Linked DNA regions of Mus musculus: regions 2, 3, 4, 5, 6 and 7 are each reported to be linked to region 1. Evidence: microRNA targets listed by miRTarBase, many of them from high-throughput screens and not tested one by one. Region 1 holds a microRNA gene; each other region holds the end of a gene's coding sequence.

Region 1 (4,068 bases):
GCGAGAGTTAAAGCGCCTCCAGAACAAAGCGGCGGCGGCACATGGGGCAGGCCGCGGGCCGGGAGGGGGCGCGCCCACGAGGAACCTGCGCGCGGGCGGCGTGGGCGGGCGGCACTCGGCGTCCCCGAAACTTTGTGCGCGCCGGGCCGGGCTCCGGGACGCGGGAGCTGCGGGGCGACGGGGCCGGGGCGCCACCCCGCGCTCCGCGTGGGCTTTGTGTGCGGCCGCGTGGGCAGCTCCCCTCGCGGGCGAGGCGACCCCTGCGGTCCGCCCGGGCGGCCCGGGACGCCCCGGCCCGCCCTCGGGGCGGCGCGGAGCCCCGGACGGGCGCTGGCTGCGAGCGCGGCGCGGGAGGGCCGGGCGGGTTCGGCAGGAGCGGCGGCCCCGCCGCCATGTTCCTGCGGGGCGGGCTGCGCGCGCCGAGGGCGGGGGGGGGGGGGACATGGCGGCGACTGCGCGCCGCCGCCGATTGTTCCCGGCTTAGGCCTCGGGCCGCGTGCGGCGAGCGCCCTGTCCGCCCCCCTCCCTCCCCCGGAGCCTGGCCGGGGGGCGCGCGGGACACAAAGGACGGCCGGCGTGTCCGGAGCCTCGCCACGCTCGGGCCTCCGCGCCGCCGCTCGCCGCGCAGCCGCCCAGAAACGGGCGGGGGTTGGGGGGGGGGGGGAGTCTCCGCGTCCGGCGCAGCGCGGCCCGGCTCTGACCTGCCGCCCCCTGGCGGCCGCGCGGGGAACCCACAAGGGCCGCCTGCCCCCTTGTGCGACATGTGCTGCCGGCCCGGGCTCCATGAGCGTGGCGGGTACTTGGCAGGATCCCGTGTTCCCGTCCGGTTTTCTCTTGATAAGCTGGCGCGGAGGGGAGAAAACTGGAGAGCGCAGCAGGGCTCGTGGTTCTTAGGTGACCAGAGGGAAGAAAATGAGCAACGTGCCACGAGGATCACAGCAGTTGGGGAAACAACTCTTTATCCCGGCGTGCAGCCACGAGGTCCTGATTGGGGGAGGGGTGGTGAAGACTAGTCCTGGTTGCCCTTTTTCTCTAGCTTGAGCTGGACAGTAGAGTTCAGGCTTGCTGCTACTCATCTTGCAGTATTTCAGGGGCACATTAATTCGTGCACGGATGTGAATCTTGGTGGGTTTTCAACTTTATTTTGTTACAGCGTTTTCCACCCAATACATTGTTGCCCTCAGGACCTTGTGGTCCTGGCTCTCTCTTTTTTTTTTTTTTTTTTTTTTTTTTTGGCAAATGGATAGAATTGCCCCTTAGGAAGATTAAGAGAAGAGCAACTTGGAATGGGGCTCGGAAAGTGGTAGTAATTTTGAGCAAATGTGCTTACCCTTTCTCTGTCTTCACCCCACCCCCAACCCTAGTCATACACGTGGACCTAGCAGCACCCGAAGCATTGCCCAAGGATACTTGCTGAGAAGGAAGTTTGCCTGAGTGGGTGAGTATATTCTAGTTTTGTAGCTAAAACTTCTTTTGAGACCTTTGGTTTTCACTTTTGTCTTTGAGCTTGTACAACATTCTTGGTCTTTTAAGGTATGAAATAAATACAGTTTGAACTCTTGTCATAAATGAGTGAGCCACATTTTAACGTAGTAAATCTACAGTGGCTTTTGGACACTAACCAAATAGTTGTAGACCCTTCAAGTTGGAGTCATAGAGTATTTCTAATTTGGGGTGATACTAAGACTTTTTTATGTTTTATGACTAATAAACTTGAAAATGACTAAACAATAATCATTAATCTTGTCGAGTATCTGACAATGTGGAGGACAGAAGAAAGGGATTGCTGCCTGGTCAATGTGAGGCTTTCCTCTAAAGGTAGTACCAAGTCAGACTGCCTTCCTGATAACAGGTCTCATTTTGTAGGACCCTTATTGTGTGTTTTTTGGGGAAGCCTACTGTAAAAGCCAACATTTTAATGGGATTGTATCTTATATTTCTTTAAGGAGTTTTTTTTTTTTTTTTAAGGCTTACATGTGTCCAATTTGGAACTTCTGGCTATTGGCTCCTCCCCTCCCCCCCTTGGGTATAAGCTGTAATTGATGTTTGTGACAGAATTTAGAGCTTTGGCTTTTTCCTTTTTGTCTAATTATTTATTTCAAATTTAGCAGGAATAAAGTGAACCTCACCTTGGGACTGAAGCTGTGACCAGTCAGAATAATGTCAAAGTGCTTACAGTGCAGGTAGTGATGTGTGCATCTACTGCAGTGAGGGCACTTGTAGCATTATGCTGACAGCTGCCTCGGTGGGAGCCACAGTGGGCGCTGCCTCGGGCGGCACTGGCTGCGTCCAGTCGTCGGTCAGTCGGTCGCGGGGAGGGCCTGCTGGTGCTGCGTGCTTTTTGTTCTAAGGTGCATCTAGTGCAGATAGTGAAGTAGACTAGCATCTACTGCCCTAAGTGCTCCTTCTGGCATAAGAAGTTATGTCCTCATCCAATCCAAGTCAAGCAAGCATGTAGGGGTCTCTCCATAGTTGTGTTTGCAGCCCTCTGTTAGTTTTGCATAGTTGCACTACAAGAAGAATGTAGTTGTGCAAATCTATGCAAAACTGATGGTGGCCTGCTATTTACTTCAAGTGTTGTTTTTTTTTAAACTAATTTTGTATTTTTATTGTGTCGATGTAGAGCCTGCGTGGTGTGTGTGATGTGACAGCTTCTGTAGCACTAAAGTGCTTATAGTGCAGGTAGTGTGTAGCCATCTACTGCATTACGAGCACTTAAAGTACTGCCAGCTGTAGAACTCCAGCCTCGCCTGGCCATCGCCCAGCCAACTGTCCTGTTATTGAGCACTGGTCTATGGTTAGTTTTGCAGGTTTGCATCCAGCTGTATAATATTCTGCTGTGCAAATCCATGCAAAACTGACTGTGGTGGTGAAAAGTCTGTAGAGAAGTAAGGGAAAATCAAACCCCTTTCTACACAGGTTGGGATTTGTCGCAATGCTGTGTTTCTCTGTATGGTATTGCACTTGTCCCGGCCTGTTGAGTTTGGTGGGGATTGTGACCAGAAGATGTGAAAATGACAATATTGCTGAAGATGCCGATTTCCACTGTAAAAATGTTCACGAGCTGATGGAGTGTATGAACACATTCTGTAAACTGTGATTTCTATTGCTTTCGTTGGTGTGTAAAACGGGATTTTTTTAATTGAAATTTGTGTTTTTAAATTGTGGTTTGTTTTTACTGAATCATTTCATTTTCGTGTTTGCTCGCTGGATTTAGTAAGAAGTTGTGTGTGGGGGCTTAGGTGAAGTTAAACTGCCTTTTGAACCTGGTATGACTTCAGGTTTATTTTACTCTAAAACCCATTAACATGAGTTAAGAAAAATGTTACTTTCTTTGGATCTCTGTTTATTAAAGTGTGACAATTCAGATGGAGTGTTTTCTGATAAGATTATTCCTAATCCGTGAGTTCTTAACAGTTAACAGGTGGTGGCCACTCTGTTAATGTGCACACCCTGTAAGAAAGAACTATCCTTGGACTGTTCTTACCATGTGACCCCCTCAAGGGAAAGATGGCAAACTGATGGTCAGTAGAGTGACAGGTACACATGACACTCGAGTGCTGGGTCTGGAGAAGCTGCAGTTAGTATTTAGGATAACAGTATATATAATATATAGTTCTACATTTGGGCAGCACAGTTGGTTTCAGGCTATGAATAAAAATCATTGGAGTGAAACCTAAAGAAAAGTAAAATTAATAAGGAAGAGCTGCTAAAATCAGGTTTAAGCTGACACTATCTACAGAGCTAAAGTTTTCCATAATATGTTGCTTTTTTTAAAAGAAATGCAAGAAGCTGACTGATGGATCCCTGAGCTGCCAGGTAAGGATTCCACAGGCCTGGGTTTGATTGTGAGTGACCAGAATTGTACAATTATTACTAAAACAGAAACATAGTCACTTCTGACTCCATTCTTAACATTTTTGGATTAAAACTTGTTTCAGATGACTAATGAAAACTTCCTTTAAAACGTGATAAAGCTCTAATGTCAGCACGATCCACATGATCCATGTGCCTCCTATAAAGGGAGGGGTCTGTCACCAGTGTTACGGATTGAATGCTACGTTTATC
Region 2 (4,068 bases), not on the chromosome of region 1:
CCGATCCTCTATTACATGCTCCAGAAGGGAGGGGGCAATTCTGTTACCACACAAGAAACCCAGGACAAAGACATCTGGAGGGAGCCTGCGTCAGCCGAGAGTCTCTCACAGGTTACAGTCAAAGAAGAGCTACTTCCCGCTGCAGAAACTAAAGCTTCTTTCTTTAATCTAAGAAGCCCGTACAATAGCCATATGGGAAATAATGCTTCTCGCCCACACAGTACAAATGGAGAAGTGTATGGACTTCTGGGAAACGCGCTCACCATAAAAAAAGAGTCAGAATAAATGTGTACCTGCCATACCACTTTGGGTCTTTTTAAAATTTAGTCAGTATGAACTTGAGATCTGTATAAATAAGAGCATGATTTGAGAAAAGCATGGTATAACTGAAACTCCTTCCTTTTGAAAGTATTGGTCACTGGTGATGTTTAAATATGCATACTAATTTTTGCTTAACATTAGATGTCATGAGGAAACAATTGAACTCGAGGTTGGTTGTTTACTATTTCTGTATGCATCAGATAACAACTGTGACTAGCCTACGAATGAACCTGTTTTTATAATCGTAAATAAGAGGCATACATTAAAATGCACAACTTCACCAGTAGTGGATTGATGCAACTTGCTGTCTTTATTAGGGTTGTTCATTTCCCATCTCAGAAGCCAGCCTACATAACGTGTTTGTAACATCCAAACTGTTAGCTATTTGGAAGATAACCAAATTAGGAAAAAAAAAAAAACCCAGAAGCCTTGTGCTGATTCACACCTCATCAGTCTAAAAGTAAGAAAAAGCAATGCTTACATTTTTTCACTTTTGCTAAACAAAATTCTTTTTAACTCTTGGAAGGGGTTTTGCGGTTCCCAATGAGTCTGCCCCACCCCAGACCTTTTCAATATATATATTTCTTTAAACCTTTTACTATTTAGTAACAATTGATTACAATAGAGGGGAGTTTAATAGATCCTTAAAAATAAAAGGCAGATTTCCATTTTTTTATATTTTGACTACTTTACTAAATTAATACTCCTCCTTTTTCAAAATTAGAGAAGGAAATCTTCACTCACCTTCAGGCTGTTTCCTGGACAATTGACTACTTAGAAATCGTTTTTAACAAAAGCAGAAATGGGTTTTCTTTGGATGGTTTTTACCGTCTCTTTTGAAAGTTGATCCTCACCACTCCTGTGGGACCCGTGACTTTACAACCAGGATTTCTTAATTCTGGACAGAGACACTGCATTCATCTGACTATCACATGAGTCTCTGGAACAGTTATTTAAATGCAGACTCCTAGGCAGCATCTCAGGTCTACAGAACACCGTCTCCAAGTGGACCCGGGCGTCCTCCTTCCGCCTGTATCCTGACATGTTCTGTATGTGCTTCTTCCGCACACTGATGTTTGAAAACTGTGGCTTAGGACTTTTCCAGAACATGAGACTTTAAAGTAACTATCTGATGCCTATACTTTTCCCCCAATACAGTCACATATCCACTCAAAATTTGCAATATCATAGTTCCAATCTTACTATTATATCTTTGGAAATCGGGTTCGGAATACTTTTTATGACAAAAAAAAAAAATTGGGTAGAGGGGACAACTTTCCTATCTGGGTCAACATCTCAGGAAAATCTGTGATTATTTATTTGCTCTAATTAGTAAGATTAACTTAATTAGCCTTAGGGGTGGAATAACAGGGCCACTTAGCAAACTCAGGTGATCCCAGGACGGTTGGGAAACTTCTTGAATACATCCTTACCTGCTAGTCAAACTGTCCTCTGCACAGCAGTGTTTATGGAGTTAACAGATTCAACCCAAGAAAGACATCAAACTCAGATTACCTGAAACCAAATCAAAGGGCACTTATCAATCCATGACAGGACCTGCACAGTCACTTCACGGATCAATTCATTTTAAACAGGCATTAAAAGTAAATACTGACATTGTCTTGAAAGAACTTAATATATAATTGAGCCACGTGGAATTTCAGTCTTGAAACAGGTTGGTTTTTAAGTTCATTTGTTTATAGCCCACAGTTCCTCCTCCAGGCAATATTTTTTGTTTTTCAGTTTTGAGCCAGGTTAACAACTGACTTATCAAAAACTTACTGTGTACTCAGCAGTTAAGTAGGAAGAAGTTTATTTGGAATTGTTATACATACTTGAAGTTGTTTCTAAGATTTTTTTTATATATATTACAAATGGACATTATTTCTTAATTACCTAAAATTCTAAATGGTTATTTTTTCTCAAGATGATTTGTAAATAGTTAATGGGTATGTTATATGGTAACCAGAGTGTATGTTATGCAACATCAGAGAAAGGAGAACGTGTATGCTTATTCTGCTATGAAAAATTCCACTGGCCAGTGAGGTACTTTACTCCATGTTTATACTGTGACAATCTCATTGTCTACACTATATAAATAAGCTTTACACTTAGTCATTTTTCTTGGTCATGGTGAAAGGGCTGGAGCCTTAGAAATATATTGTAGGATGCTGGAGTTCGTCCTCTGTTCACGGCGCAGTAGTCTTCTTACAATGGAACAGCACTTAGGTCAGGGAAACGTCCAGAGCCAGCATCGCTTCGCTTTGTTTTGTTTTGTTTTTGTTGGAATGAGAATATGTAAGACAAAAATAAACATGCCTATGAAGGATGCTGTTCTGACTTTCTAGAGAATAACCCCCCCCCCATGTTTTGTTTAGAGAAATCTTAAAGAAGAGAAAGGGCATAATACATCCACAAATTCACTTTGCATATGTAGATTCAAATATGCACATACACATTTTCGAGGACTATTTTCGATATCTGGGCAGTTTCTTCCTAATAAAGTCATTTGTGAATGGGTACTACAGCTCTCATTGACATCAGTAAGGTAGCATTACCTGTTTATTCTCTGCTACATCTTACAGAAGAATAAACTGGTGAGAGTATATATTTTCTATATATATACATATATATATATATAAATGTGTATATATATATATTGACTTGTTACATGAAGATGTTAAAATTGGTTTTTAAAGGTAATGTAAATAATGATTTCCTTAATGAAAAAATACATATTTTGTATTGTTCTAATGCAACAGAAAAACCTTTTAATTTCTTTGGTTCCTGTATATTCCATGTATTAAGTGTAAATATAATCAGACAGGTTTAAAAAAATGTGCATGTATGTATACAGTTGCAAGTCTGGACAAATGTATAAAATAAACCTTTTATTTAAGTCTGCGTACCTGCTGCATGACGACAAGTGCATGGGGGACCCTGTGCATCTGTGCATTCGACAGAAACCGTCTTAAGTCAGGGCAGATGGTCATCCAACACGACAGTATTCCATTTCCGGACATGACCTCTGTGGCTTATGCTTTGTGAGAAAATGTGCTTCGAATTCAAGGGTCTTAATTTTTTTTTCTTTTTAATCAACCACTTTCAACATTAAAGAACTCACAGAGCAACTTCACAACTCTTCAAATCCCATTGGAAACATAACCAGGAATAGTCCAGTGTTCCTAAATGCTGGAATATAGGCACATTACCGTTCATGGTAAGAATCTTGGGTTTACAGCCAGTTTTGATGCAGCCTGCTTAGTGATATTAATTTGCCATTTTTATTATTAAATTTGATTTCTTTATGTGATGTAATGAATTGTACATACCGCAGTGTGAATTTTTTTTTAAATCTTTTAGTGTTTACTTCCTGCAGTGAATTTGAATAAATGAGAAATGCATTGTCTCTAACTTGAAATGGCTTCTTTTTTGTGGGCTTTCTCTGGTTTTTAGGTTTTCCATTAATGTTAAAGTCCAAGGTCATAGAGAGAAAAAGGAAAAAAGCAATAGACATGTATTTTGTCTGTCTCAGAAAAATGAAGGGGGAAAAAAATAAGCAACTGATTAGCAAGTTAGTATATTTAGAAACCTGTAATTAAAGTATAGCTCAAAATGACAGCTGGCCTGTGGTCTGTCTTCCATTTCTCAGTATGTAACTGAATGACCACTACATGGTTTTGTTTTTTTTTTTTAAACTGAAGTTTGTACAGTGTTCCAAAATAAAGTTAATTAGATACATATACT
Region 3 (4,068 bases), not on the chromosome of region 1:
ATAACAGGAATATCTAGGCCCTTTTTCCCTCATCATTTAGGGCTTATCCCCATAAAAAGGGCCACCACAGTCTCATTTTCAGCTCCAAAATGTAAATGCGTATTTCCTTCTTCACAGCCCTATTGAGATATGTAATTCATACATGTTACCTGAATCTGAATTGTGTTTTCTCTCCTGTCTGCAGGGAATCTGAAGCATGTGGTCTAGTTGACAAAAAGAGATCAGGTTCCCAGAGCTGGGCAGCAGTGCCTATAATGAAGACAGTGTGTTGATGCAAGCGGTTTGTGGAATTTGTGACTGCAGGGGAAATTTGGAAGAAATTACTTCCTGAAAATTTCCAAGGGGCACCAAGTGGCAGCTGGCCTCCTGGGGTGAGGAGCCAGGCACCCCGGAGCCAGGCCTAAGGGGAAGAAGAAGATAGCCAGTGTTTAAAGTGTTTATTTTAAAACACAAATGCAGTTTTTAATGGTTCAAAATTATTTTTAAGCAAGTTGGGGGGAAGAATTTTATCTTCATAAAGGGGACAAGTCAGGAGCTGCAGAAGAGTGGGGTTGGGTAGGGGGGTCAGCAGATGGGCAGGTTCGGCCCTCGGGGCCATTTAGATAGAGACCTGTGGGGGAGGGGTATCAGCAGACTGGGAGGTAAGGAGGAGTCTACCACTTTTGTTTTAGTATGATGCACTCCAGTTGTTCTTAATAAAAGTTTTGAAAATGTAGCTCGTCCCACCGCTCTGTTACTGCTACCGACAGCACACACAGTTCTGAACATTTCCTGCCACCAAAGGTCAAAAATGGCCCTCTTGTTCCCATACTCTGCCCTGGCCAGCCTGGGACTCTCACCTTAAATTTTGGACCCTCCTGGGGAACTAGTGTATCCCCAGACCAGATGACAAGCTCTGTCCTGCGCTGGAGTCTGACCATGAAAAAGAAGGTGCGGAGTTATAGGCTCTGCATCCATGAAAAGGGGCCTGCTACATTCTGAGGAGCCGTTTGCTCTGTCAAGGACTCATGGGTCGGAAGGCATTTCCCTCAAAGGGCATTTCCATGGGTAAACAGGACACTTGCAGCTCAAGTGTAGACAGTTGATTCACATGACAGTTGGCTGGTGTGATGGGGAAAGATGGCAAACTATGGGGGAAGACGACCATTTGGTGGGATTTTTATAACATGATTGACCAAATGTTTATTAAGTTCTTTCAACCACTGTGACAAGTCTAAGAGACACAAGCGCAGCCCAGTCCTGGCCTGGGGCAAGGGGAAAAAGAAAAGCAAATATATGCACAAAGCTGGGAATCTCTGAATTGCAAGCTTTGCCCAACAGGCCCTCAGCAGCATCTGGAGGGATGGCTAACCTGAAGTTCCCCCCAGGCAAGCAAGAGCATTCCACAGAAGGGAGTGAGAAAGCCTTGAGTCTGTCCTGAGCTGGGAATAGCCATGCTTTTATTAAACAGTGAGAGTGTCTGGTGGACTAGAAGTACCAGTCGCTTCAAATGTCCACTATTCTAATTATACACTCTAGGCTTAAGGCACTTTGGCTTGTGCTGAAAAGAAGGGGGATTTCAAAGAATTGGAAAGTGGGGAATGGCTGGCTGAATGGGCAGGTGCCAAGGTTTGCCCTCTCAAAGGTTTGCTTATCCCACTTGAGTTTCCCAATACAGTCCTTTCCAGCTACCCCCAGGGTCCCTATGAAGGCCTCAGTCATGAGAGGCAGCCACCTGGTAGGAACAATGGCTAGCTAGTGCCCTGTGGCCCTTTTAGGTGGGAATTGCCCTGGTCAAGGATATCCCCCCTATGTGGAGAGAGTAGTATAAGGTGCAGGGGATACCCACAAAAGGTTGCCTTTTGCCATGGGACCCATTCTCCTGGTCAAGAAGGCACTGCCTGAGAACCACCTCTGCCTTAGTTCTAGCCCAACAGGATCCATAAAAGTTACTGAGTTGATGACCTTGGGCCAAGCGTCAGAGGGTACCAGTGCAGGGGCCTCCAGACTGTCATTCATTGCATTCCTATAGGCTATGCTGGCCTGGAGTGCAGTTAGTGCTCAGCCTACACACAGCCCTGGAGTCTGTCCCTTAGCACTTCAAAAATAGAGGAGGAGAGACAAGAGAGGATAAGGGAGAGGGAAGAAGAGAAAGAAAAGCTAGGCAACGGTGGGCTAAAAAAAAAAAAAAAAAAGCAACAGGTAAAGGGCAAGGATAACGTCTTAAAAATTTACCGAGCAAAATTGAAATACCCAGAGCCAGCATCTACAAGCCCAACACAGCAAGTTAAGAACAGCTCTGTCCTGAGTTATAAAGGCAGTAACAGCCACAAGGAAATGCACCAAAAAGAAACTGAGATGGTGAGATGGACTTCAGTGGACCAGGAAATCATAAGATGCTTTGGTTTGCTTTTGGAGCTTTTTTTTTTTTTCTCCAGATTTCCTCAGTGAATCGAATTTTATTTTCACAATGGAAAAATAGGCTGGGGTTGGGGTATATGGCTCAGTGTGCAATGCCTGCCTGCCTGCCTGCCTGCCTGCCTGCCTGCCTGCCTGCCTATATCCATGAGGCCCTAGGCTCTACTCATAGTCCCACAAATAAAGTAGTAAGCTCAAAATGAGTTTGCTTGGTTGAACACTTATTAAACTCAGTCACCAAAAACAAAAAAAAAAAAAAAGAAAAAGAAAGTAAGAAAGACGTGGTTGGGAGACGGGGTTCAGCTGGAGGAGATGGGGAGTAAATGTATAATGGGGTGACTGTGACCAAAATGCATTGTGTCTGTGTGTGAAATTGTCAGATTAAATTCTGGAGACTGGAAATGGTTCTTATCTGTCCTCTGTGATAAGAATCTGAGTCAGTTGGAGCCTCCCACTGTGCAGGCCTGTGCTCAGCCTCAGGGCTGTTCTTACTGCCCAGGAGGCTCTGAGAAGAGCCCCAGGAGAAATGGGCTCCAGGGCAAGGGAAGCGGATACTGATGTGAGCTTACCTTCCCTTCAGTCAAAGGCGACTGTCTACCTACCCACTGTCGTACTAAGTTCAAGCCCAGTGACTCTGATGACAACCATGAGGCAAAAATCAGAATGCACCCCTTTTTATAAGGCATTTCTACTTAAAGTGTGCCATTATCTTTCCTGCTGGATAGGTATTATTATACCCACTTTAGAGATGAGTAAACTGAGTCTACAAACTGAAGTAACTCACCCAGGAGTGGGTAGAAGAGAACAACCCTAGCTAGAACTGCAAGCTCCCTTACTTTTTCCATAGCCCCACACTAGTGCCACTAGAATATTCTTTCTTTTTAATTTACTCATTAATTTTTTTTTTACAGTCCAGACTTTATCCTCCTCCCGGTCCACCCTCTGACTGTTCCACATCCCACACCTCCCCACCCCCAGTCCTGGTCTCCAAGAGGATGTCCCCATCCCACCCCCACCCCCCACCCTACCAGACCTCCACACTTCCTGGGAGCCTCAAGTATCTCCAGGGTTAGGTGTATCATTTCTGATGAGTCCAGACCAGACAGTCCTCTACTGCATGTGTTGGGGCCCTCATATCAGCTGGTGTATGCTGCCTGGTTGGTGGCTCATTGTTTGAGAGATCCTCGGGTCCAGGTTAGAATGTCCTTTAAACTGTGTGACTTTGGAGTAAAAGATTTTCTTCTTCCTTACAAAGTCCAAGCTGAATCAAGCCACACACTACTCCTAGGCCCTCACCCTACAATAAACAGACAAATTAGCCATGTGCTTTTTCAGCAAGATGCTTGGCCTTGCTGCGTGCATTTCCTCCCATGGAAAGTGAGGCAAATGCTTTCTATACTTCATGGGCTCTTGCGAGGGGCTACTGACTTATCAAAAATGGGGGCATCTGAAAAGAGCCCTAAAAACTGTGTGGTGGTGCATACCTATAATCGTAGCACTCGAGAGGTAGAAGCAGGGGTTCAAGGCCAGCCTGGGCTACATGACAACCTGTCTCCAAGAAAAAAGCCTAAATATTGTGCATATAAGAGTATGCACCAGGACCAGAGAGACTATAGGAAAACTTTAGGCTGTGTCTATAACTTGAGAGTTAAGAAAAATAGCCATCTTAAA
Region 4 (4,068 bases), not on the chromosome of region 1:
ACTGGTCCTCAAAAGACTGAAGATGCCTACACCATCAGCTCTGCAGGGAAACCTACACCAAGCACTCAAGGAAAGATAAAACTAGTAAAAGAAACCTCTGTGTCAAGACAATCAAAAGATAGCAATCCTTATGCCACTTTACCTCGTGCAAGCAGTGTGATCTCTACTGCTGAAGGAACAACTCGAAGGACGAGCATCCATGATTTTTTGAGCAAAGACAGTAGACTGCCCGTGTCAGTCGATTCATCACCACCTACTGCTGGTAGCAGCAGCACTACAGCATCTAGTGAGTACCATTTACAGCAGTGGTCCTCTGACATGCCAACACATTCTGAAGACACATCTGAGTCCGTTTATACCCAGGCTAGAAATTCAAGTTCAGGAAGGCCATGTTTTCTAAACCAAACTTTTGCCACTGTTAAAATGTCTAATGATACATTTGGAATATCAGGTAATGATAGCCATGAGACATTTAGTGTTGTTCATTCATCTCAGCCATTTCTATCCCTGAACACAGAACTAGTTAGTAACATAAGTGGGTTACCTCCCAAGTCACCACTCACTAGAATAACTGGCCAGACCTTTGCCTCTTTGGATAAAACTGCACAGAAAGATAACAAACATTTTTCTGATAGTCAGAACCCCAGTCACAGTAAGACACAGTTCTCTGAAGATAGCGATCTTATCATTCCTGCATGCCTCTACCCTGATGACACAGACGTTGCATTATCGGTTTCAGAGGACAGCCAAATTGTTTGGTATGAATATGGTTGTATTTGATCAAAACTGCATAGTATGTTAATATTACTCATTAGGCTTATATTAAGATTGTTACAGAGTTCAGCTATATAAAAAGGCATGTATATAAACACCACACCAAAGTCTGCATGAAATAGTAATTGCATTGTGCATTTTTGCATGCCTTTTAAACCCCACCCACATTTCTTTTACATCTTTTTAATGCTTGATAAAGATGATAAAGACACTTCATGTCATGGATCATGTCCAAGTAGCTGCATGTTCTGTTATCAAGAAAACATATCCAAGTCATTGTTTGGCTGCTTCTAAAAAGCATGTTCATCGCTCTTCCTGCTGCCTGCTCCCCAGCCCTCTCCTTTGCTTCCTGAATGTGCACTTCATGCTGCACATGCACAGCATTCATAAGAAAATGTTTTTGAAATGGTATTTTTTTGTCACTTAATCATGTTATCTTTCCTGTTCTCTTTTCAAAGAAATAGTTAATAGTTCATCTTTATTTGAACTAATGCTTGCACTTATAAAACATTGTTCAAATTTAAAATACTGTTTATTCATAAATGTGTTATTCCTGGAGTTTTCTATCAAATTTAAATGTAACTTACACAGTGAGTAGGCATGTTTGTATTACAGTTCCCTTCTTGGTGCTGTTCCTTTCCCGATAAATGCAATAGCTTAACTACTTCCCCTTTATTTTTTTGGTATCCTTAACACAAATTTTTCCAGTTTTTTTTTTAAACATATGAGTCAAAGAGAAATAAACCAAGTTACTTATTACCTTGGGAATTTGTATTTTTACTTCAATTCAGAAGAATAGCAAGGTTTTTAAATGATGAAAAAAATTAACTTCTGTCATTAATTTATTACTAAATGTAAATCCTTAATGCAAACTTTTTAAAAATTAATACATTGCGCTAGAGTATAAAATTAGAACTTGTGAGCATAAAAATGAAAAATACACTATGTAGTCTTTATTCTAAAATCTGTTGTATTAAAAACATAGTCTTGCCTGGTGTATGCCTTTAACCCTGGCAGTTTGGGAGGCAGAGGTGAGTGGTTCTCTGAGTTCCAGGCCAGCCAGCGCTGTGAACTGGGACCCCGTCTCAAAAAGTTCAAACAAAAAGAAAACAAAACAAGCAAAAATAGAAAAATAGTCTTTAGCTCCCCACGCTCTCAAACAGTACACACACACAAACGCACACACACACACACACACACACACACACACGACAAAGATACTATCCATAAACATGGACTCCAATGTCATATAGTTTTCAATTATCTTTCTGTGTTCATGTCAATCTACACCAAATCAGCTTTAATTCCTCAGCATTAAAAAAATCTATAATCTTATTTCTGCAGGATATTTAGCTGTTTCAGGAATGTTTTAATAATTTTGATTCAGCCTAAATATTACTGATAAAACTCCGCCTTAGGTAGGTGCCATAAGAAGCTCTATGAGTGAAGGGATTAGTGCTTGTGTACTTAACCTCGCTGAGCTGTCATTAATACCAGACAAAAGGGAAAATCTTCAGTCTTTGCCTGACTAAAAATCTCTCCCCTGGTACATTCCCAGGATCACCTTACAGATAGATCCCTTTTGTTTATATTGCTGACCATATGTTTCTTTCCTTACAGCTATTCTTAAAATAGTTCTGAGACAAGTGATCAGATGAACCCAAGCGGTATTTTACATATTTTAGTACCACCTAATAGGCTTACTGCATGAATATATCATTACCTTATACTATGAATTTTTTGTCTAGTCAGTCTTAATACTTCAGACATTTTTGTGCTGTTTTCCCTTTTGTTCATAGCCTACTAATAAATGGTAAGCTGAGACTGATGCAGCACAAAGACAGAAATGCTTTACTTAGCTTTGGACATCATGAAACAAACCTTATACTTTCTACACTTAAAAAATGTTGCTAATTTTGTTAATTTAAAGTATATTTTAAATTATGTGTTTTATAAAAGCTATATTGTCTTATTTTATGAAAACAGACTTACAGAAGTATTCTGTCTCTAATGTCTAAAGGATACATTGCATGTAAGAGAGGTAAATACTATGTCCATATTTCCTGTGGGCTAAGATTGTAGTGTAGAATTCTTCCAAATACAGCACATACTATGGAGTCAAAGTTTCCTCAAACACCACTAATACTATGTTGCTTATGACTTTAAAATATAAAAAAATAGGTTCCATGTAAAACGTCTGTCAGATTAATTTTCCACGTTTCAAATTCCTTTGTTCAACTCAGCTTTAAGAGCTTTTTAGTTTATCTTCATGAATTTTGTTACTAAACTTTTGAGTAAATAACATGAACTACTTTTCTCCCACAGATGTGAACAAAGTACAAGAGAGCAGAAATTCAAAAAGCAGGTCTAGGGAGCAACAAAGCTCCTAATTCAGTGACCCACTGCATGACATGTGGGCCTGGGGTGAGTTTGCTGCTTGAACCCTAAGTGAGACGAGTCTCATCTGTACAGACTAACAGAATTAAGTATAACGAGTGCACATGGCACTAACAGTTACATTTCGCTTGCTGGACTCACTGACTTTCCTTCCTGCTTAATTAGTAAAGAGTAGTTGACTACCATAGGTTTTTGCCTGTCTAATTGGGTAGCAAGCCTTTAAAAAGTATTTTCTCTCAATTGAAATGTAATTTTAGCAGTGAGTAATCTAAAATATTTCATGCGGTTACAACCTCTAAGTAACTGGTAAGAATGCACTAAATACCTGTCTTACAAAGAACAGCTCAGACGTTCCCTCTGGCTTTCTGTCACTCTCATTTCCATATAAACACCTGTGCATGTTGTTCTTGCCGTAGCTTCCCTGTAGTTTATATTCCTCTTATCTTCAAGCTATTCTTACATTTTCTTTCTTCTTTTCTGTCTTTCAACAAAATACAGAGAGAAAAGTGTCCTTCAGTTTCTCAGTGTGAAGACTTTATTTCTGAAGTAACAAGACACCTAGCAACTATAGGAACTATTAAAAACAGTAAGGAGATTTTAACACATCCCTTCGTGATTAGAGCAGGGAAGAGATATAAACTTCATTCTTCCTTGAATCAAGGAGCACTACTGGATTCAGCTGCCAAAAGTTTTAGAAGGTTTTAGGACACTGTACAGTGCACTAAGCTCTACTGAATAAAGGACATTCTCTCACTAAGGACCGAGTGTTTAAGGTCAAGTATTCTAAGGAACAGCCTACTTCTTTCAACATTTGTTTATTAATTTATCCATTTTTGCTTACTGCTTCTAAGTATTATCCAAAAACTAGTCATTTATATTTAGTTGTACAAATCTAAA
Region 5 (4,068 bases), not on the chromosome of region 1:
ATCATGTCCTAAAGGCTTGTCAGAAAACAGCCATGTGCTTCTGATCGGAGGCTCAGTGTTGTGTTGTTATTTTGTTATTATACAGTGTTGTGTTGTTATTTTGTTATTACACTGTGATGTGTTGTTATTTTGTTATACTGTGTTGTGTTGTTAATTTGTTATTATACTGTGTTGTGTTGTGTTACATTGTGGCTCCATATTACACTGTGTTGTGCTGTGTTGTGTTTGGATTCTGTGGCTCAGGTTTTAGTCTGTTCACCTTGAGGCATTAGTCTTTTCTTCTAGGAAAACAACTTTGTCTTCAGGGTTGTCCTCAGATTCTCATATTATTCCTTAAATGTTAAAGGCAAAAAAAACCCCAGGTTTTAAAGTTCATTTTTTTTAAAGATATCAAATAGTTATCCCAAAAAGGACTTTAATTGCTTTGTCATTTCTCAGAAAAACAAAAAACAAAAAACAAAAGCTATGGACACATTTGAAACTTAAGATCTTGGTTAGGTAAGAAAAGTATACTCCACATTTAGTGGGATTACCCTGGTACCCAACAACCTTTCAAAAGTGGTAACAGTGCCAGAATCCCACAAAAACCTATCCACGTGGTCCAAGCCTAGCTCCAGGCAAGCATCCTATAAGGTCCAGATTGCAAGCTTTTGTCTCTCTCACTGTACAAGTGTTAGTCAAAAGCCTATTTAACACCACTGTGCTTACCGCCTACAGTGCATGTTGTGTCTAAGTATTTCTAAAGTGCCTATGAATACGCATATACAAATCAGCACTATAATATCAGGATTATAGAGAAATTCTTTCATAGAACAAAGAACAGAATAGGCCTAGAATTGTGGTTAAGCTATACAATTTTTTTATAGTCTCTTGAGCTGATTTCAGACTGCAAGCATAGAGAAATGATTCTGGCTTAGTCATATTTCAGACAGTTACTGGTATGAAGTCTGTTAGGAGGAGAAAACCAAAAACCTCTCGGCTGTGCTTCTTTAGAAAAGGCTGTTTGGAGATCCAAGAATGCAAGGGAACGTGTCCAATTTTATAAAACGGCAAGTGAAGCTTAGTGAATGTAGTTATAAAGTTGGTGCAAATATTTAATGTGATCACCAATTGTTATTAAATCCAAAAATCCCATCACAATGGTGGCAAGTCTGAGTGGCAGTTTCAGGGGTTTAGAAAACAAGACCCTGGACAGAAGTCACAGATGTTATACTAATAAAGGGACCAAGCCCAACACACAGCTAGCCTTCAGAACTTTGGCAATGACCGTGTGTTTTCATGGCTTTGGGGCCCGGGTTCTAGATCCCAGTTAGTTTAGTATTTGTGGCAGTGGCCCTGTAGCAAAAAAGTAGATAGGAAAGGTGCAGGAGTAAGTCCTGCCGTGTGTCTGCCTCTCCACCTCAGGGTCTGAGGATGGTGCCGCTGCTGCCCATCACAGCCACGAGTGCAGGATGAGGGATATGTGGCTCATGTGTTTCCTTTCCATGACAGTGAGGCACTACGACCTTCAGTTGGGCCCACCAGGTGTCACCAGACCATCCCAGGCCAGCAGAATGACCCCACAGCCAAGATATGGTGGCTCCCACCTGCCCTCCCTGTACCTGCTGGTCTTTGGTGAATCCTCACTCCCTGTGTCTGCTGGTCCTTGGTGTGAGTCCTTAAGTATGTGGGGAGAGGGAGGAGTTGCTACATTCTCATCTCACACAGGGCGTTTTAACTAATGCTTTCCAGAGGAAGGCATATATTCTGCCTTCTGAACACTGGGTGTTTGGGGATAGGCAGCCTAAAGAAGGTTCTAGTAGTAAGCACTGGGACTCCATATCCAACTAGGGAAGCAGATTCTTCCTTGCGTACATAGTGAAGAGCCCCCAAATGAGGAGGCCTAGGGAGCATGCTCTCCTTGCCTGCAGTACACACTAATGAGACAGAGGGATGTAGAGAGATGCTGATCACACAGCAAGGCCACAGTGCCTGCTCAGACAGCCAGGATCTGAGGCAGGTCTCCCTGCAGCCCTGGGACTCTTGTTTTATGACAGTATATTTTTAAAAGTCCCAGATTTGTACTATGCCTCACAGATATATTTGGGGAAATGGCAGATAATAAGATCACATGAGAATACACAGTTAATAGCAAATTAGGAACAGAGTTTTGAAGAAAGCTACATAAGAATTACTCACTATTTTGTGTGTGAGAGAGAATCCACACAATGTGTGTGGATTCCAGTGGAGTAAAGTGAAGAAGTGTTACATAAAACATCTTCCTGACTCAGCAGTGAGCTATTTCAACTGTTTTTGCATTTGCATAAAATCCATGCATCATACAAAATTCTAGTCCATTTCTCATCTAAGCCATTCTAATGCTTCATACAACCAAACGAAGCAGGATTGATCAAACCTATTAGATTCATTCCTAATCCCTAAAGGACTTCTGTCTCTTAGCATTTTCATGCTAACTAAAACTAGTGTGTATTTTTTCCTTAAGATGTCAGATGTGTTACCTCCTAACTCTAATACCTACGAAACCTAAATGCTTCTCCCTGAACTGCAAAACAATCAAGGGCAGTGGGCGCTGTAGAATCCACCTGGGGTCAGCTCAGACACGGCAGCCACATTCTCAGCCAGCCCAGGCCAACTCCACTCTCCTTCCCCTGATCCCATTATCCTCCTGGCTCAGCGAGCTGCTTGACTTGTGTCCTGTACTAAAATGTGGCCCCTTCGAGGTGAGAACCAGGACTGAGTCCTCCTGAATCCCAGCTGGACTGGACACAAACCCCAGAGACCCTTTCAGTCACAGATGCTGTGACATGGCCATCACCAGGAGTCAAAAGGGCCTCCAAGGACCTCCTAGAAGTAGCCGAAGCCACTCTTGTCCTGAGCCAATGTGGGTGGCAAACAGAAGAGCAAGGGAGGGAACAGTGGCTGCAACACTGTTTCCAGAAGTGAGCTGCTCCCCCACCCGGAAACCAACAGGACAGAGGTGTCACATGACACGCCAAAGGGAAGCTGAGCCTTCATCACGTAGGACAGGCTACTGGTAAAATATGGTTACTTCCACTCTGGGTAGCTCTTCCATTGGATACGCTGTGGTCACCACTGCTCTCAAAGTTCTCAGTGAAATTAAGGCTGGGTCACAACTCATGACACCAGATGCTACATAGAAAGCAAGATACAAAAGGAAACAATGTCGTTACAAGGTAATATAAGGGGACACTAAGCAGACCACTGGACTGCGACTGTTAGTAATATGCCTTGGAAAAGGCCAAGAGTATTGGAAAAGGACTCGTCCAATCAAAGAACAGAAGAGGCTCAGGGTGGACCTCCGGCCGCAGTTCCCAGCTGCCTACACAGTGGTCTCCATCGTTTCAATCACTTCCAGATCCGACTGCGATGGGGAGAGCAGGGTGCACTCATCGGGTTCCCAGCTGCTCTCAGGGCTGTAATCTTCTTCGGAACTCAGCTCCGCCCCTTCTTCTGTGTCCTCATCACAGGATTCCACATAGTGAGCCCCAATGGCGTTGATCCCCGAGTCCTCGGAACCGGAAGGGGAGGAGCAGTGACCCAGTTTCGGAGTGTCACTCTCTTTAGAAATTAAGGCATCGTGTGCAGAGACCTCCTCAGGGCTCATCTTCTGGGAGTGGGGCGCCTGCTGCTTCTGCACATAGCACATCTTCCCATTAATACATTTAACCTGATAGTTGTCGATGAAGAGATCGGAAATCATACAGTACCTTGGCGAGTCAGGGGGAAGCGGAGGCTGGAAGACAGACGCAAATTTCAAAAAGTGTTCAGTGAGCGAGACGGAGATTTGAATGGTGTTAGTCGGCTCTCGGGGCTTTGCAGGGATCTCTGTGCTTGGGAGCTGCTCCACGGGGGTCATAGGCTGATACACATATTTGCCTGTGGGACACATAAGATACAGCTGAAATATAGGCCCACCATGCAAACTCTATTAGGTAGCTGTGACAGTCTGGCTCTACAGAGCATGTTCTCTAACTATTTTGGTGACATCCAGATCAAACCAGTAACATCCCCGTCACTTGACAGCCCTCACATTCATGTATTAAATTC
Region 6 (4,068 bases), not on the chromosome of region 1:
GATTTAATGAAACCAGACTATCTTGAGCACAGGTACAAAGCAGGCAGCCCTGACTACTGGCCATGGGAAACCCCGGGGCATCACTGTGGCACAGGTCATGGCCGACTGGAAGGCTGTTGGTCTGTATGAGTCCTCTGAGACGTTCACATCACATGTCTTAAGTGGTCCTGGCAGTGGGATTACCGAAACAGTTCACACACAAAAGAGCCATCCAAACAGAGAACATTTCCTCATGACAATTTGTTTTAATTAAATACAAACAAGGAGAAAAAAATAACAACAACAACAAAAAACAAGGCACCATGGCCCATTCAAGTATTTTGCATAGATGTACAAATATTGTAAACAATCAATAGGAGGACATGAGAGGGGAGGACTACTTCCTGTGAACAATCTCCCAAATCAAAAGAAAATTCACATTTGCCCTGGATCCCAGACATAGACATATACAGTCATACAAGAGGATACTGGGTGCATGACTTTGGGGTGCTAGGCTCGGATTCTACAGAACCTCTCCCTAGCAGGCTTCCCTGGGACGGGGTACCTTTCCAGTTGGTGTTCCCTGGCTTGTGTGTGGAGGATTCCTTCGGGTCTGTTCATTACATGCATTTGACAAAATAACTAGCCTCCAATTTTAAGAATACAAGTCTCACCTCCACTTTGTCAAATAAGGAAGTGAATTGAGCCCAGGGGAGACACTGAAGGATTATTGCAGTGTTGCAGGGGGGCTATTGCAACAGAAGGAACTGTCGCGTTACAGAGAACACTCCGACACTAGCATCTACAGTGTCTTGGAGCAGGGGTAGAGAGGGGGTATTCTCTTCCTGGTGGAAGTCACCAAGGCTAGAAGGAACAGAAAGCAAGCAAGGAGTTGTAACTTGGACGGTATTAGCCCAGGCTATACCTCTTATAGAGATGGAGAGCTGAGGTTTACAGGTCAGGAATGGCTTTGCAGTTCTAAGGTTGGCAGGCAGCTAATCTAGCTCCAAAAAACATTTACAGCCTAGGCTGGAGGATGTAGCTCAGTTGTAGAGTGTTTGGCTATATACATATGAAGGGCTGTGTTTGAACCCAGGGCCACATAAAGCATGGTAGCACACACCCGCAGTCTGTACTCAGGAGTTCAAAGATCATCCTTGGTAAAGTGACTTAAAGGCCAATCTACGATACATGAGATCCTGTCTTCATTTTTGTTTTTCTAGAGGGTTTTTTTTTTCCTCTGTGTGGCCCTGGCAGTCTTGGAACTTCCTTTTTAGACCAGGCTAGCTTCAAACTCGAGATTCACCTGCCTATGCTGGGACTAAAGATGTATACCACTAAACGCAGCTACAAACCTTCCCTCAGCCCACCAGAGCCTTGGCTTTGACCTATTCTAACATCTTCTGACGTCTCTCTTCAGTGGCTGGGAACAGAGGTGCCTTAAACAGTTCTTGTTCTTGCTCACATTGTATGCATAAGAAAAGCGCTTTCATTCAGTCTTGGATGCCCTCACAGACTTGGTGTAGGAAGACCAAAGTGTTCTGTTGCAACTGCCCCTCCTCCTCATGTGGTAATATTCTTTCATCTCCTAAGTGACAATCCTGTGAGACAAACCCTGTCCTTGAAGTCTAGATACACCTGTATGGGACCCTTCACAAAGCAGATGGGAAGGGATTCCTGCCTGTGACAGCCTAGCTGGCCTCTGGAAACAAAGCCTTGAGTGAAGTTGTGTGTAGAGCAGCTGCCGACATTTCTACCAAGTTTAAAAAAACCCCGTCCTCTTACACTTCACAGTATAATGTCATGGGATGGAGGTGGTAGCAAAGTAATGAAAAAGAAAAAAACAGAAGTGATTACCAAAGAGCAAGGAAATGGGTCTTTTTCTGATATGGTTCAAGGGACAGAAAGTGGAGGGTTTCTAACTTTGTGGTGAGAATCGGGGTGGCCTGTAGTCACCGGCCACTTGGTAAAGCACACAAAAGAGAAACTGATATAGGACATGGACTGAGGCCTCAGAGAGTGTGAAGAGCACGGTCACCCTGAAAAGGAGAAAGGTGCTTTCCTGAGATCTTTCTACCCCAGGCCACGTCTGTCATAGCTCCCACATGTCTACAATCCCAAAGCTTACTCTGGGAAGAGATATAAGGAGGCCTCAGGTGGTAAAGGGGAAGTCAAACGCTTGCCTCTTCCTCTGGAGGGTTCCAAGAGCTAACAACTGCTTGCTGTTGGGGCGGGGAGGCCCCTAGAGAGCCCTCTGCAGTGCCATTAGCACCTTTCTGGGGGTGGAAGATGGCCTCTCAGAGGCCAGGCCCAGCAAATGTGTAAGAACTGTTCCAAATAGCGGAGCACCAAGCAAGAGAAGGTCCACCCCATCCCATTCCCACCTTCTCAGCATTTTCCATGACGATCACCTCGGGGCAGCAACCAGGAGAGACCCGATGAGGTGCGTGATAAAACTCTGGTTGAATAGAGTTTGGGGAACCCTGCCCAGATCTGGTTCACCATGGCTGTTGACATCGATCTGTTCAGAGTCACCAGTCCCCCCTCAGAGCTGACCACTAGGGCGGGGCTGGTGGCCCTGTGTATACAATACTATAGCCAGGATGCCAAACATGTCAGCCCCCCTCAGTACAACTGTGGCTGTCCTGGGGAACCTTACTTAGATATGAGTCAGAAATAAGGAGGAGGTCCCTTATTCTGCTTGAGGCCGTAAAACACAAGTACATGCAGAGCTGTCGGCCTGCCTGCATGTCTGTCTCTCTCATTGCCTCTGTCTCTTTCACACACACACACACACACACACACACACACACACACACACACACACACACATACACGCCCACTCGGCTCAACGCTCTTGAGATCCAGTGCAGAAAGTCCAGTGGCGACCCCATATGGCAGGATCCCGATTTGTAGGTCACCAGCATATGGTCATCAGCAAGTCAGGACTGCCATAGTTCACCACCAAAGCACCATAGGATAGGGATGCTGGAAAAGGAGAAGGTGACACATGGAACACTGGGGATGGATGAATGGATGGATGGATGGATGGATGGATGGATGGATGGGGATTCTAAATGTCCTTAGTGACCTTTGGCATAACGGCTCAGAGGGGACACAGGTTGACCACCCCACCCCCCTGCTGTCTATGCTACTTACAAATAGTACCTGTCTGAGTCAGAGTGACCCGTGTAAATATGGGAGTGGGAATGTGAAGAAAGGCAGGGGAGGGGAGCATGGCTTATCACATGCAGCCAGAGAGCCAGGAACAGGCACCTTGACCAAGCCCCTTGGGGTAGGGATGTAGCAGTAGCTTCCTCAGCAGCCTGGGATCCCAGAAGGAGGCCAATCAGTGACACTCGCGTGTGTTCCTGCCAGCATAGGACCAGGATGGGTACCTTCTCCAAGCTCCGCAGAGGAGGACCCCAGCTCAAGCCTTCCCTGAGCATCGCTGGTAGCTCTTGGCTAGTGGGCTGAGGGAGAACCTTTCCCACCCTCCTCGCCGTGCTTCCCTTCCCTCCCTGGGCTGTATATTGCACAGGACAAACACTTAGGAGCCATTGGATATGAGTCCCCCTGGGCCTCGGAGGAAGCAGGAGGCACTCGGGTAAGAAGGGAGATTCTGGGGATGAGGGACGTTCCAGAAGGCTGCCAAAGCTTCAGGATGGGTGAGAAGGCGTCTTTCTTCTGGACCTTCCATGGCATCCGGAGTCTTCCATCGGAACAAGAAACTTCTCGACACTTCTAGATCTTGGAGCTAATTATTGCTCCAACCCTCTGTGATCGGTACTCGGGTAGCTGGAAAGGAAAAAAAAAAAACAAAAACAAAAAACGATGTGACCTCAGTGCTGGTCAGTGGGACTGTGGGCAAGTGTCCTCTTGCTCAGAAGTCTGTCCCCGCGGCTGCATTCCAGGGCCATTGGCCCTTGTAGTGAGAGCAATTGTGTGGCCACCCCCAAAGCTGGAAACTTAGCCCCTCCCCTCTTCCATCAAGTTTCAGTACATCTAGTTCCCTAGTGCTTCAGGGGATACGGGCTGGCAACCAGCTTTCTTGCCTCACCCCTTCTGACCCAACTCCCCAGACTAAGC
Region 7 (4,068 bases), not on the chromosome of region 1:
AAAGAAAAAGATGACCAAGGCGCGCCTAGAACGTTTTAAATTAAGGCGCATGAAGGCCAACGCCCGCGAGCGGAACCGCATGCACGGGCTGAACGCGGCGCTGGACAACCTGCGCAAGGTGGTACCTTGCTACTCCAAGACCCAGAAACTGTCTAAAATAGAGACACTGCGCTTGGCCAAGAACTACATCTGGGCTCTGTCAGAGATCCTGCGCTCAGGCAAAAGCCCTGATCTGGTCTCCTTCGTACAGACGCTCTGCAAAGGTTTGTCCCAGCCCACTACCAATTTGGTCGCCGGCTGCCTGCAGCTCAACCCTCGGACTTTCTTGCCTGAGCAGAACCCGGACATGCCCCCGCATCTGCCAACCGCCAGCGCTTCCTTCCCGGTGCATCCCTACTCCTACCAGTCCCCTGGACTGCCCAGCCCGCCCTACGGCACCATGGACAGCTCCCACGTCTTCCACGTCAAGCCGCCGCCACACGCCTACAGCGCAGCTCTGGAGCCCTTCTTTGAAAGCCCCCTAACTGACTGCACCAGCCCTTCCTTTGACGGACCCCTCAGCCCGCCGCTCAGCATCAATGGCAACTTCTCTTTCAAACACGAACCATCCGCCGAGTTTGAAAAAAATTATGCCTTTACCATGCACTACCCTGCAGCGACGCTGGCAGGGCCCCAAAGCCACGGATCAATCTTCTCTTCCGGTGCCGCTGCCCCTCGCTGCGAGATCCCCATAGACAACATTATGTCTTTCGATAGCCATTCGCATCATGAGCGAGTCATGAGTGCCCAGCTTAATGCCATCTTTCACGATTAGAGGCACGTCAGTTTCACTATTCCCGGGAAACGAATCCACTGTGCGTACAGTGACTGTCCTGTTTACAGAAGGCAGCCCTTTTGCTAAGATTGCTGCAAAGTGCAAATACTCAAAGCTTCAAGTGATATATGTATTTATTGTCGTTACTGCCTTTGGAAGAAACAGGGGATCAAAGTTCCTGTTCACCTTATGTATTGTTTTCTATAGCTCTTCTATTTTAAAAATAATAATACAGTAAAGTAAAAAAGAAAATGTGTACCACGAATTTCGTGTAGCTGTATTCAGATCGTATTAATTATCTGATCGGGATAAAAAAAATCACAAGCAATAATTAGGATCTATGCAATTTTTAAACTAGTAATGGGCCAATTAAAATATATATAAATATATATTTTTCAACCAGCATTTTACTACCTGTGACCTTTCCCATGCTGAATTATTTTGTTGTGATTTTGTACAGAATTTTTAATGACTTTTTATAACGTGGATTTCCTATTTTAAAACCATGCAGCTTCATCAATTTTTATACATATCAGAAAAGTAGAATTATATCTAATTTATACAAAATAATTTAACTAATTTAAACCAGCAGAAAAGTGCTTAGAAAGTTATTGCGTTGCCTTAGCACTTCTTTCTTCTCTAATTGTAAAAAAGAAAAGAAAAGAAAAAAAACCAACAAATTGCACAATTTGAGCAATTCATCTCACTTTAAAGTTTTTCCTGCTCGCTCCCTAAAATAGAAACCAGACCCATAACACTCAAGAGGATGAAAACCGAAATGCATTCCTTATCAAAACACATCAATTCATTACTTGCACAAGCTTGTAAATACATATTATAAATAAATGCCAACACACACTCCTTTAAATCAAAAGCTGCTTGACTATCACATACAATTTGCACTCTTTCTTTTTAGTCTTTTACTTCTTTGAATTCCATGATTTTACGGAGTGTTTGAAGATATTGATGTTTCCAGAAAATATAAATGCATGATTTTATACATAGTCAAACAAATGGTGGTTTGTCATCTATTCATGTAATAAATCTGAGCCTAAATTTATTCAGGTTGTTAATGTTGGGTTTTTATACCTGTGTAGTCAGTTAGTACAGTAGTTTAAATAAAATTCAAACCATCGAATTCATAATTAGAACAATAGCTGTTGCATGTAAAATGCAGTCCAGAATAAGTGCTGTTTGAGATGTGATGCTGGTACTACTGGAATTGACATGTACTGTAATCTTGTTTGTAATCCTGTGTATTATGGTGTAATGCACAATTTAGAAAACTCCCATGCAGTTGCAATAAAAATAGTATGGAAAATCAAAACAATTGTTTCATTTCTTTCGAAAGTGGATTTTAAAGAGTAAAATTGTAGCGAGGAGGATCAACGTCTGTATTTGCTGAGTTAAATGTTAAACATTAGGAATAAAATATAGAGTTGAGCTTGTCCTGTGCTTAGTCTGTTATCTTGCTTAGAGGGTCACTGGCTTCTCAGATAACAAACAGACCTCGCCTCTGTTTTATTATTTGGAGTATTGAGCACAGAGTAAGCTGGACAAAAAACTCTGGTTTTCTAAAGGTGAAACGTCTTCACCTTTACTCTCTTTGTTTGTTTGTTTGTCTCTGTTTGTTGAAATGATTGTTAGAAGTTTCTTTTATTTTTCAGGCGGATTTACTTAAGTATTAACTAGCAAGACATAAGCAAATACCTTAGTTTAATTTGTTTATACATATTTAAAGCATAAACAAAATTGAATATTTTCTCACTGTTCTGTTATCTGTATCTTTCCTGAACTAGATAGCTTTCTTTCAAACAGTCCTGCACTCCAAACTATATATCTGATATTGTAGGAAAATTATTTAATTAATTGAAAGGCTCCCAAAAGATGAGGCATTTTATAATGGTTCTATTAAGTGTTTGGGATGTCTTCACTAATTGTTCCACTAAAGTGCTAGTGAGCTTTTGGTACATAAGTATATACTATTTGTGTTCTATTTTAGGAGTGTATATTACTCCACAGTTTTCTGTACAGTCCTGCTATTTTATATTTTGATTTTATAAACACACACACACACACACACACACACACACACACCACACCACACCACACCACACCACACCACACCACACCACACCACACCACACCAACTTAACTTCTGGTAAGTCTACTTAATAAATAGTTTGGCATTTCCCTTCCCATGAGAAATGACTGACAGTCTTGATTTTTATGGAATAGCATTTTGGCAGTTGTATTGTCTCTACTGTGATTCTGATTGCTGTCATTGTTCCTTCTCTGATTCGGATACCACATTGGATGCCTACCTCCCTTGCAAGCATGTTCCTTTAATCTCCTTCTCGTTGGTGGCTTAAGGGTTCCAGAAAACTGACCTTATTTAGTAAGCTGCTCCAGAAAAACGTGAGTAATCTAATAGACAGGAACAATTAGCCATAGTAATAACGTTGCCAACGAGGCCCCATCAAGCTGTGACAGTAGCAGTAAGGGATATTTCAACATTCAAAAAAATTAATGTAATTTAAAATAATGTTTTCTACCAGCCTTTATCACACACAGAAATACATTAAAGCTGGTCCCAACTTTACCCCAAATGTAGTTGTCTCTTTCCAAGTGAATCAGAGCAGTTATTTTGGAATCAAGCTGTTGCTTCCTAGCCTGGATTTTTCTCACCATTGACTTTAGGAGACACAATACTGATAGCAGAATCCTTCAGCCTCCCAGCACAGGAAACCATAAAGTGAACATTCAGATCTGATCTGATCTATTAAGCAGCTCAGTTTCACCTGTAATTAAAATTAGACATCTCCATGCAAACTAAAAACTGTTGCTAGAGTCAACAGAAGAACCAAGGGTGGTGTTTCTAGAATCACAACATTTAAAATGGGAAGCAAAAGAATCTAGACTATGGGTTTCATTAGAGGTAGGCGTGAAGGATGAAGGCTCTGCTTCACTCTTTTTCTTTTTCATTTTGTGTGTGTTTAAAATTTCACTCTAAAGGCGTAGGGATTCTTTCAGTCAGTCAGGGAGTAACTCACATGCCACCATCTTTTATTCAAAGGCAGGCACAGATGTTCCTTCTGCAGGGAAGGTTTTAATTTATGAAAATGATATTGTTTATGCATGAATGAACTGCATGCACCCTGCATAACGCATAGCACTTCCATCTGATCAGAGAAATACCACCAAACCAGCGCCAATGTCAGAAACATATTCTACACATTTACTCACTCAAATGT

Evidence for each region. Region 1 holds the annotated microRNA mmu-miR-17-5p (CAAAGUGCUUACAGUGCAGGUAG, at 2,165-2,187, shown strand). A microRNA usually pairs through its seed, bases 2 to 8, with sites in the 3' UTR of a target mRNA and lowers its output. Matches are read on the target gene's strand: a 7mer-m8 pairs with bases 2 to 8, a 7mer-A1 pairs with bases 2 to 7 and ends in A, and an 8mer does both.
Region 2: miRTarBase lists Nrip1 as a target of mmu-miR-17-5p. The part of its 3' UTR that is shown has no 7-base or 8-base seed match.
Region 3: the mRNA of Hdac8 is a reported target of mmu-miR-17-5p. The part of its 3' UTR that is shown has no 7-base or 8-base seed match.
Region 4: miRTarBase lists Ccdc88a as a target of mmu-miR-17-5p. The part of its 3' UTR that is shown has no 7-base or 8-base seed match.
Region 5: the mRNA of 2510009E07Rik is a reported target of mmu-miR-17-5p. Seed matches in the 3' UTR shown: 7mer-A1 at 2,230-2,236 and 8mer at 741-748.
Region 6: the mRNA of Adam19 is a reported target of mmu-miR-17-5p. Seed matches in the 3' UTR shown: 7mer-A1 at 1,141-1,147.
Region 7: miRTarBase lists Neurod1 as a target of mmu-miR-17-5p. Seed matches in the 3' UTR shown: 7mer-A1 at 1,519-1,525.

The regions. Positions count from the first base shown.
Region 1 is chr14:115,041,520-115,045,587 of GRCm38, forward strand. It overlaps Mir17 (microRNA 17), which reads left to right and starts at 2,152; the gene lies at 2,152-2,235. It overlaps Mir18 (microRNA 18), which reads left to right and starts at 2,332; the gene lies at 2,332-2,427. Mir19a (microRNA 19a) reads left to right here and starts at 2,481; the gene lies at 2,481-2,562. It overlaps Mir20a (microRNA 20a), which reads left to right and starts at 2,638; the gene lies at 2,638-2,744. It also overlaps Mir19b-1, Mir17hg and Mir92-1.
Region 2 is chr16:76,287,399-76,291,466 of GRCm38, reverse strand. Nrip1 (nuclear receptor interacting protein 1) reads left to right here. Exons shown (of 4, transcript NM_173440.3): 4 at 1-4,064. The coding sequence ends at 285. Among named protein-coding and RNA genes, the nearest start is that of Gm30569, 11 kb to the left of the region's middle.
Region 3 is chrX:102,281,285-102,285,352 of GRCm38, reverse strand. Hdac8 (histone deacetylase 8) reads left to right here. Exons shown (of 11, transcript NM_027382.4): 11 at 185-715. The coding sequence ends at 207. Among named protein-coding and RNA genes, the nearest start is that of Gm32262, 13 kb to the left of the region's middle.
Region 4 is chr11:29,504,026-29,508,093 of GRCm38, forward strand. Ccdc88a (coiled coil domain containing 88A) reads left to right here. Exons shown (of 31, transcript NM_001363368.1): 31 at 1-2,109. The coding sequence ends at 780. Among named protein-coding and RNA genes, the nearest start is that of Prorsd1, 9.0 kb to the right of the region's middle.
Region 5 is chr16:21,649,862-21,653,929 of GRCm38, forward strand. 2510009E07Rik (RIKEN cDNA 2510009E07 gene) reads right to left here. Exons shown (of 2, transcript NM_001001881.2): 2 at 1-3,897. The coding sequence ends at 3,341. Among named protein-coding and RNA genes, the nearest start is that of 2510009E07Rik, 43 kb to the right of the region's middle.
Region 6 is chr11:46,143,501-46,147,568 of GRCm38, reverse strand. It overlaps Adam19 (a disintegrin and metallopeptidase domain 19 (meltrin beta)), which reads right to left. Exons shown (of 23, transcript NM_009616.4): 23 at 222-3,777. The coding sequence ends at 3,724. Among named protein-coding and RNA genes, the nearest start is that of Gm35624, 20 kb to the left of the region's middle.
Region 7 is chr2:79,450,710-79,454,777 of GRCm38, reverse strand. It overlaps Neurod1 (neurogenic differentiation 1), which reads left to right. Exons shown (of 2, transcript NM_010894.3): 2 at 1-2,141. The coding sequence ends at 814. Among named protein-coding and RNA genes, the nearest start is that of Neurod1, 3.9 kb to the left of the region's middle.